Canis lupus familiaris: one gene and its partner. The protein of the gene in region 1 interacts with the protein of each later gene in a pairwise test. Links are inferred from orthologs where the notes say so. Each region holds a gene or a part of one and is shown on either strand. Other genes may lie near its edges.

Region 1 (3,807 bases):
CTCCGGCCTGTTGCCATGGCGACCAAGCCCGCTCCCGGGCGCGTCCCCCTCCGTCGGGCTAATGGAATCGTCCCCGGACCGCCTGCCTCCGCGGTCGCCTGCGGGTGCTGCGGGCTGAACCATTGCTGGGAGAGGGAGACTAGAGGCCTATGCGGCTGGGCGTGTTCTGCGCACCCTGGCCTCCGCCAGGGTCGCACGTCCACGTTCCTCTTCTGAGGCGCAGAACCCAACCGGACCCAGGGCGGGGCGCACGGTCCCGTAGGATCCGAGTGACGGAGGCAGGGCCGGGCTCCTTCCCCCGGGGCTGTTGCCACACTTCCTGCCGCGGCGCTCTTTCCCCAGCCTGTTTCTAAGGAAGGAGTGGGGTTGGGCGACCGCGCCCGGGCCGTCGGGGTAGGTTCAGCACCCTGAGTCGGCACGGTGTCGGTCAAGCCCCGGGTCACGGGGGGAGGGCTTGGAGATGGGAGCAAAGTATACTGGCGCCTAGAAAGCACCCACAAGAAGGGGTGGCCAGTCATGGAAGATCCAGCAGTCCAAATCCCCAGGATCCTCAAAAACCCCTCCTCTCATGTCTCAGCTGGAGACCCTGTGTCATTATCATCTCGGCTCTGAAAGTGTGTCCGGACTCTTAACTCTCCTTCATCAGGGCTTTGCAGATGACCCCAGTGACTCCCAACCTCTGACAGGGTCCCCCCCCCCATAATTTCCCAGACTCGGTATACCCCGGAGCCCTCACTTTCTACATAACTAGATTCCCCTTATGGAGGCCCTCAGTCTCTCCCATGGACTTCAGGACCCCTACTCATTTTTTGCATAATGGATCCTCCATCCCCTCCTTTTGCCCTTTTGATCCCCCCCTCACTTTTCCTGGGTTCAGTCCCTCTATTAAAATTCAAGTCCTTTAACCCCTCTGTACTCAGGACCCCCACACATTACCTTACCCCTCTCTCATTTACTCTGGTTGATCCTCCTGTCTCACCTTTGTGGGGTCTCCCTGTGTATATAATCAGCCCTTCAACCCCCCTCGAATACTCCGAGTCCCTCAGGCCTTTTGTGTACACCCTGGAGACCACCCCCGCCCTCCGCCCCAACACGCACACGCGCACGCACGCACACACACACACACACACACACACTTGCTTTGTAACAGTTCCTCGCATCCAGGGGAATCAGTGCCTTCCCTGGAGTCCCTCCCCGTGTATCTCGGACCAGCACCCCTTCCTTCGCGCACCCCGGGGTCCCCTGAGCCCCTCCCCCTGCAGCCGCGCCGAGCCACCCAGCCCGTGGCCGCTGTTTACAAGGACACGCGCTTCCTGACAGTGACGCGAGCCGCCTCCTCCCCTTCCCCACGCTGGAGGAGGGGGGCGCGGGGGCCCGGCTCGCGCGACGGCCAATCGGAGCGCACTTCCGTAGCTGACAATAGCCGTATAAAGGCGTGTGGCTCAGCCTGAGCTGCCGGGACCTTGAGCGCGGCCAGGCCAGCACCGGAGTCAGCAGGGAGCGGGGAGCAGGGGGAAGCGACACCAGGAAAGCGAGCGCGCCGGACAGGGGCCGAAGGGCTCGAGAAGCCGCACGGAGCTTCCGCGCACCGCCGCCGGCTGGCCTCTCCCGGCCGGTGCCAGCTCCTGGGAACGCGCGTCCAGATACCCAGTCCAGCCACCGTCGCGGACAGGGCGCCGCTCGCCGCAGCGAGGCCCGGGGCGGCCCCGCAGGGACCCCCCCAGACCGCCTGGGCCGCCCGGATGTGCACTAAAATGGAACAGCCCTTCTACCACGACGACTCATACGCAGCGGCGGGATACGGCCGGGCTCCGGGCGGCCTTTCTCTACACGACTACAAACTCCTGAAACCCAGCCTGGCGCTCAACCTGGCCGACCCCTACCGAAGTCTCAAAGCCCCCGGGGCGCGGGGCCCGGGACCAGAGGGCAGCGGTGGCAGCAGCTACTTTTCCGGCCAGGGTTCGGACACAGGCGCGTCGCTCAAGCTTGCCTCATCGGAGCTGGAGCGCCTGATCGTCCCCAACAGCAACGGAGTGATCACGACGACACCCACGCCCCCGGGACAGTACTTTTACCCCCGCGGGGGAGGCAGCGGCGGAGGTGCGGGGGGCGCCGGGGGCGGTGTCACCGAGGAGCAGGAGGGCTTCGCAGACGGCTTTGTCAAAGCGCTGGACGACCTGCACAAGATGAACCACGTGACGCCCCCCAACGTGTCCCTGGGCGCCAGCTCGGGGCCCCCGGCTGGGCCCGGGGGCGTCTACGCCGGCCCGGAGCCACCTCCAGTCTACACCAACCTCAACAGCTATTCCCCAGCCTCTGCGCCCTCTGGAGGCGCCGGGGCCGCCGTCGGGACTGGGAGCTCGTACCCGACGGCCACCATCAGCTACCTCCCACACGCGCCACCCTTCGCTGGCGGCCACCCGGCGCAACTGGGCCTGGGCCGAGGAGCCTCCACCTTCAAGGAGGAACCGCAGACCGTGCCTGAGGCGCGCAGCCGCGACGCCACGCCACCGGTGTCCCCCATCAATATGGAAGACCAGGAGCGCATCAAAGTGGAGCGCAAGAGGCTGCGGAACCGGCTGGCGGCCACCAAGTGCCGGAAGCGGAAGCTGGAGCGCATCGCGCGCCTGGAGGACAAGGTGAAGACACTCAAGGCCGAGAACGCGGGGCTGTCGAGCACTGCTGGGCTCCTCCGGGAGCAGGTGGCCCAGCTCAAACAGAAGGTCATGACCCACGTCAGCAACGGCTGCCAGCTGCTGCTCGGGGTCAAGGGACACGCCTTCTGAACGCCCCCCCATACGGACATTCCCCCAGTCTGGACGACTGGGCGCACGCCTCCCAAGGGGCGAGGGGGCAGGCGGTGGGCACCGGCCCCCGGGGCACCGCAAACCACACTGGACTCCTGCCCGCCCGCTCTGCGTCCAGTCCTTCCACTTCGACGTTTACAAGCCCCCCTTTCGCGTTTTTTTGTATGTTTTTTTTTTTTCTGCTGGAAACAGACTCGATTCATATTGAATATAATATATTTGTGTATTTAACAGGGAGGGGAGGAGGGGGCGATCGCGGCGGAGCTGGCCCCGCCGCCCGGTACTCAAGCCCGCGGGGACACTGGGGAAGGGACCCCCGCCCCCTGCCCTCCCCCCTCTGCATCGTACTGTGGATAAGAAACACGCACTCGGTCCCTAAAGAGTTTATTTTAAGATGTGTTTGTGTGTGTGTGTGTTTGTTGTTCCGACTTTTTATTGAATCTATTTAAGTAAAAAAAAAAATGGTTCTTTATTAATTTGTTGTCTTTTTTTCCAAGCCGGGCGGGAGGAGGGAGGAGAATAGTGGGCTGCCCCCACCCCACTCCTGCTTGTGACTCGCGCCAGTGTCCGTGTCCTCCTCGCCAGCTCTACCTAAGCATCTTGCAGCCCTAGTGCGGGCGGCGGACCCTTCTCTGGCCCCCTCCTCCCCGGGGTTGGAAGGGCCAGGGCGGGTACGCGGTCCAGCCGCCCATCACCAGGGGGCAGGAGGCCTGGGGCGAGACGCGCAGTGCGCGGGCGCAGCCCCGCCCAGCTGCGCGCGCTGGGGCTTTCCCCGCTGACGCAGCGGAAGCGCTGCCCCTACATGGGCCGATTCTGTCCAGTGACGCGCCGGCGGTCTCCGGGCAGATTCCGGGAATCCCCTCCCCCGCTCTGCCGGGCAGGGCTGCGGCGCCGGGAAGGGGGCCGGGATTTTCCCAGGCAGGCGGCTGCCGGGGCCCGGAAAGCCCCAGGCCTGGGTCCAGAGCGTCCGCGGTGGGAGGGCCAAGCTCCTGGGTCCCGG
Region 2 (4,134 bases), on another chromosome or scaffold:
AACAACCAATGGATCAAAGGAGAAATTAGAAGGAATATTACAAAGAAGAAATGACAAGGGATATTTAAAAATACTTAGAGATGAACAAAAACTACAATACAAGAAAACTTATGGGATATATACAACGGAATATCACTTTGTTTATTGTCTGCCTCTTCCGCTCGAATATAACTTCCAGTAGGAAAGGAATTTTGTTTTGCTCAATATATCCTATGGGACAATATTGCCTTCAGACAGAAATTCCCACCAGTGGATACAAAATCCTTTAGGGGCCATGCTTCCTAGCTTTCCTAAGACTAAGCAAGGCAAGCATTTGGCTTTGAGCCATACTGGGAATAAAGCAAAGGCTTTTTTTTTTAAAGCCAAAATGCCCCCGTGAGGTTGGATTGCTTACTGAGAACTCCACAAATGTGCTCATGGCAAGGCTAATAGCACAAGTAACACCTGTCTTCACAGCATATTTTACCGCCTACTAGGGGCGTTCTAATCCACGCTTACCCACTTGCTTCTGGAAACAGCCCAAGAAGTGGGCAGGGAGGATTTTATTGCGCTCCATTTACAGGTGGAGGTAGAGGGGCGTAGAGCTCAGGTGAGCTACCCAAGGCCACCGGCGTTCTGGAAAGTCAGAATGCAAGTCCCCGGTACAGTGCTCATTTCACTGTTTCTTACGGTTCCTCCATTCTGGGCTTTGACCCGGTGACGCACTTGAATCATGAAGATTCGAAGCCCATCCTGAGCTCCTGAAAGACCCTGGACGAGAGAAGCAGCCCTTCCCCAAAGACAGCACGCTGCTGAGGGGCCGAGGTGACGGGCAGATGTTGGGAACACGCACGGCAGAGCCTGTCGCCGGCCTTCAGGTCTCTCCGGGCCTCTTCTGCCGGGTAGTCGGGCAAGGACCAGGCCCACCACGGGGCAGGTTGGGCGGCTGCTTTGGGGTAAAAAAAACAAAACACACACACACACACACACACACACAAACAACAGAAAGAAATCCCAATCTCATTGCTTTATTTTGGTTCAAAAATCAAGTCGGCTGATAATGGAAACTCTTTCCCTCTGCCCTCCGGCCCGTGTTGACGGGAGGCGGCCTTGCTAATTCGGGCTGGGGTTTTTCCCTGCCCGGGCTGTTTTTCTCTTTTATCTTCATCAATTGAAGAGAGCTGTGCTGCCTTTCAAACAGTCGGAAGGTATCTGGGGTTTTGTGTATTTTTTTTTCTTCCTTTCATATAATTCTGCGGGTCTTTTCCCAGATATGTATTTTCTCTCAAATTAACTTCTAACTTGTTTAAGTTTCCGCCCATGTGACTTCCAGTGTGAGTTACCAGAAACCACAAGAGAGAGAGCGCGCGCACGAGCCCCAAAGCGAGCGACATGTCCCTGTGGGGAGCAGTGCCTCTGCACCCCAGAGTGAGGAGGACGCAGGGGCCAGAGGCGGCGGCGCGGGCACAGGAGCCACCTGCGCAGGGGGCTGGGCCGCTGGCCTGGGAGCCGGCAGCCAGGGACGCCCGCTGGTGACCCAGAGCCCAGGGGCGCCTGGGGCGGTGCGGGGAGCCCGGAAGACTGCAGCCATGCCTCACAGCTCCGACAGCAGCGACTCCAGCTTCAGCCGCTCTCCTCCCCCTGGCAAACAGGTAGAGCCCCTTCCCCTGCAGCCCACCTTCTCCCTCTCTGGGGAGGGACGGGGGTGGGGGCGTCGGAGGGCCAGGCTCCCTCGGCCTGTCCAGGGGCCCAGCGAGCGAGGAAGTGGCTGGTGGCAGGAGCAGCCTGTCACGCTGGCGACCTGGTCCTTGCAATGAAGCGGCCGGGACCCTGGCCCTGCACCTGTTCTACCCAGGACCCTTTACCTCTCTGCTCCCGCTGCCTGCCTCCCCCGGGTCCCCACCCCACCGAGCTTTCTAGGAAGCCCGGAGGAGAATGTGCACCAAAGAGCCCTGGTCTCTCAAAGGAGGAGGTCCCCCTTGCTCCGAGGCAGTAGGAACGGGAGAGGCACAGCATCACAGGGCTGGGCCGGCCTGTGCCTTCGGGGGAGGGGGCCATCAGGGCAAGAGAGGGAAGCGTCAGGGAAAAGGAAAGGAGAAAAAAAAAAAAAGCAAGTTAGAGGAGGAAGCCAGGCAAGCCTAGAAGAATCTCTCTTATCTACTGGGGCACTGCCCCTGCTGCTAGCACAGCCAGCAGAGACGGATGCCGGAGCTGCCACCAAGCCTCTTCCGCCCGTGGCTTCTGGACCAGAGGAAAGAATCAGGAGAGGGCGTTGGAGCTTCCTGGAGACACTCACTAGAAGCTTGGCTCGGCTCGGGGGGGAAACCACAGTGATGGAGGTAGAGAGTCTGGGAGTGTTTGGAATCTAGATTGTGACTTCCAAGTCCAAAGTTTTCAGCTTGAGGCTTGCCAAGAAATAGGGCACCCTGCCTTCCCCCAAAGCTTCTGGAGCTTTGTCTTCTCCGCATTTCTTGGCATTCCTCTCCAGAGAAAGGCTTCTTCATTCTCACCCAATACCTCAAAGGATTAAAACTTCTTCTCCAACTTTGTGGTTTAAAAGCCACATTCTTTCCTTAGCACAGTTATCCAAGAGGGCTTCCAAGATGCTGCAGCTGAAATAAGAGTATATAAACGTCTAATACAGCATCTGTCATAAATGTTGCACAGAGGAGCAGCAGGTTGGAAGGAGTTATAGTGGAGACCTCTAGAGGGCAACCAGTCCAGGCCTCTGCTCCAGATGGTATCACGATGGGTCAGGCTGCCTGGAAGTCTGTACTCTTCTTAGGAAGGAAATTACTCATGGCTTCCATGGTAACCTGGTTCCCCATGCCGCTTAGAGCAAAGCACTTCCTTCCCATCTAACACCATGCCCTCCTGCTGCAATGGCCTGGAAGTGCTGGGCACGCTGCTGAGACTTATGCTTGGTGAGCACAGTCTTGCCCGGGAAATAGTGTCCCTGTCTCCTGTGTGGGTGTGAGAGGGAACAGGGCAGGAGCTGCAGAAGGGTCTTACTCAAACTCCTATACTTATCCTGCAGTATCTAGGGGAATGCTGGAGCTAACCTCTCTGCCCAAGCAGAGGACATGTCCGTCTGTGGGATATACTTAGAGGACACCCGGAGGTCCTCCTGTGCTAAGCACCCATTCAGTACCTGCCACAGCCAGGTAATCTCCACCATTAAAGCTGTTCTTGGCTACTGGTTTCTATTAGGCATTGTGCTCAGGACCATAGGGAAGGTCAACATCACTGAGCATAATGAAGGGAATGTAAGGAGAAAAGAATGCGGGAGAAAAGATCTGGGATGGGGACCTCAGCCCAGGTATGTGGTGGAAGACATGTGGGTACAAACCAGTGAGGGGCGGGGAGTGGCTTGGAAAGGCATCAGACTTAGCATCAGAAGACACAAGGCCCCAGATTACCTAGGCTCCTCGGCAAGCCCTTTGAGCCTCACTCAGTCTCCTCACGTATAAGATAGAAACAATAATATCAACTTCACAGAACTGAGGAATTAAACCAGAGCAACTCTGAAAAAGCACTTGCGCAGAAGTTGGCATATTGTAGGTCCTCGGCAAAGTTTTGGAAAAAAAAAAAAAAAGGCAAGAAAATGCTAGTCCAAAAAAAAAAAAAAAGAGAGTAAGGGTGGAGCAGCCCTGAAGAGGAGAGGTGATGAACACACTTCATCGCCTTGACCATTTTTTTCCAAATACAGCCCTATCGAGGCCCCAGGGTCTTTTTCCTCTTCCTGTAGCTTTTGGCCAAAACAGCTATAGGGACCTAAGGGAGCGTAACAGAGTGTGGGGAAGAGTTCTCTTGCAGGCTCAGCATTTTGGTAAGCAGGGGGTGAAGGGGCAAATGAAAAGATGAAGAAACGGAAGGATGCACAGACGGATACCAAACAGCATGAGAACCTGCTTTAATCCAAAAGAGAGAACACACTCACCTAATTCCCATCGTTTCTGCTTCCCAGGACTCCTCCGATGATGTGAGAAAAGTTCAGAGAAGGGAGAAAAATCGCATTGCTGCCCAGAAGAGCCGACAGAGGCAGACGCAGAAAGCTGACACCCTGCACTTGGTGAGTGTTCAGACATTTTTTCAACCTCTTGAGCTATAGGCTCCCTACCACCCAGAGATGCTTGGACCATAGCTTTGAGGCTG

Evidence for each region.
Region 2: the proteins of JUNB (region 1) and BATF interact in binary tests that used the Homo sapiens proteins (3 or more experiments, as listed by UniProt). The link is inferred for Canis lupus familiaris from reciprocal best matches to the Homo sapiens genes JUNB and BATF.

What each region holds. Positions count from the first base shown.
Region 1 is NC_049241.1:49,756,885-49,760,691, reverse strand, and holds JUNB (transcription factor jun-B), read left to right. Parts: upstream 1-1,446; 5' UTR 1,447-1,742; coding exon 1,743-2,786; 3' UTR 2,787-3,283; downstream 3,284-3,807. UniProt on the Homo sapiens protein: Transcription factor involved in regulating gene activity following the primary growth factor response. Binds to the DNA sequence 5'-TGA[GC]TCA-3'.
Region 2 is NC_049229.1:48,851,447-48,855,580, forward strand, and holds the start of BATF (basic leucine zipper transcriptional factor ATF-like), read left to right. Parts: upstream 1-1,322; 5' UTR 1,323-1,568; coding exon 1,569-1,631; intron 1,632-3,946; coding exon 3,947-4,051; intron 4,052-4,134. UniProt on the Homo sapiens protein: AP-1 family transcription factor that controls the differentiation of lineage-specific cells in the immune system: specifically mediates the differentiation of T-helper 17 cells (Th17), follicular T-helper cells (TfH), CD8(+) dendritic cells and class-switch recombination (CSR) in B-cells.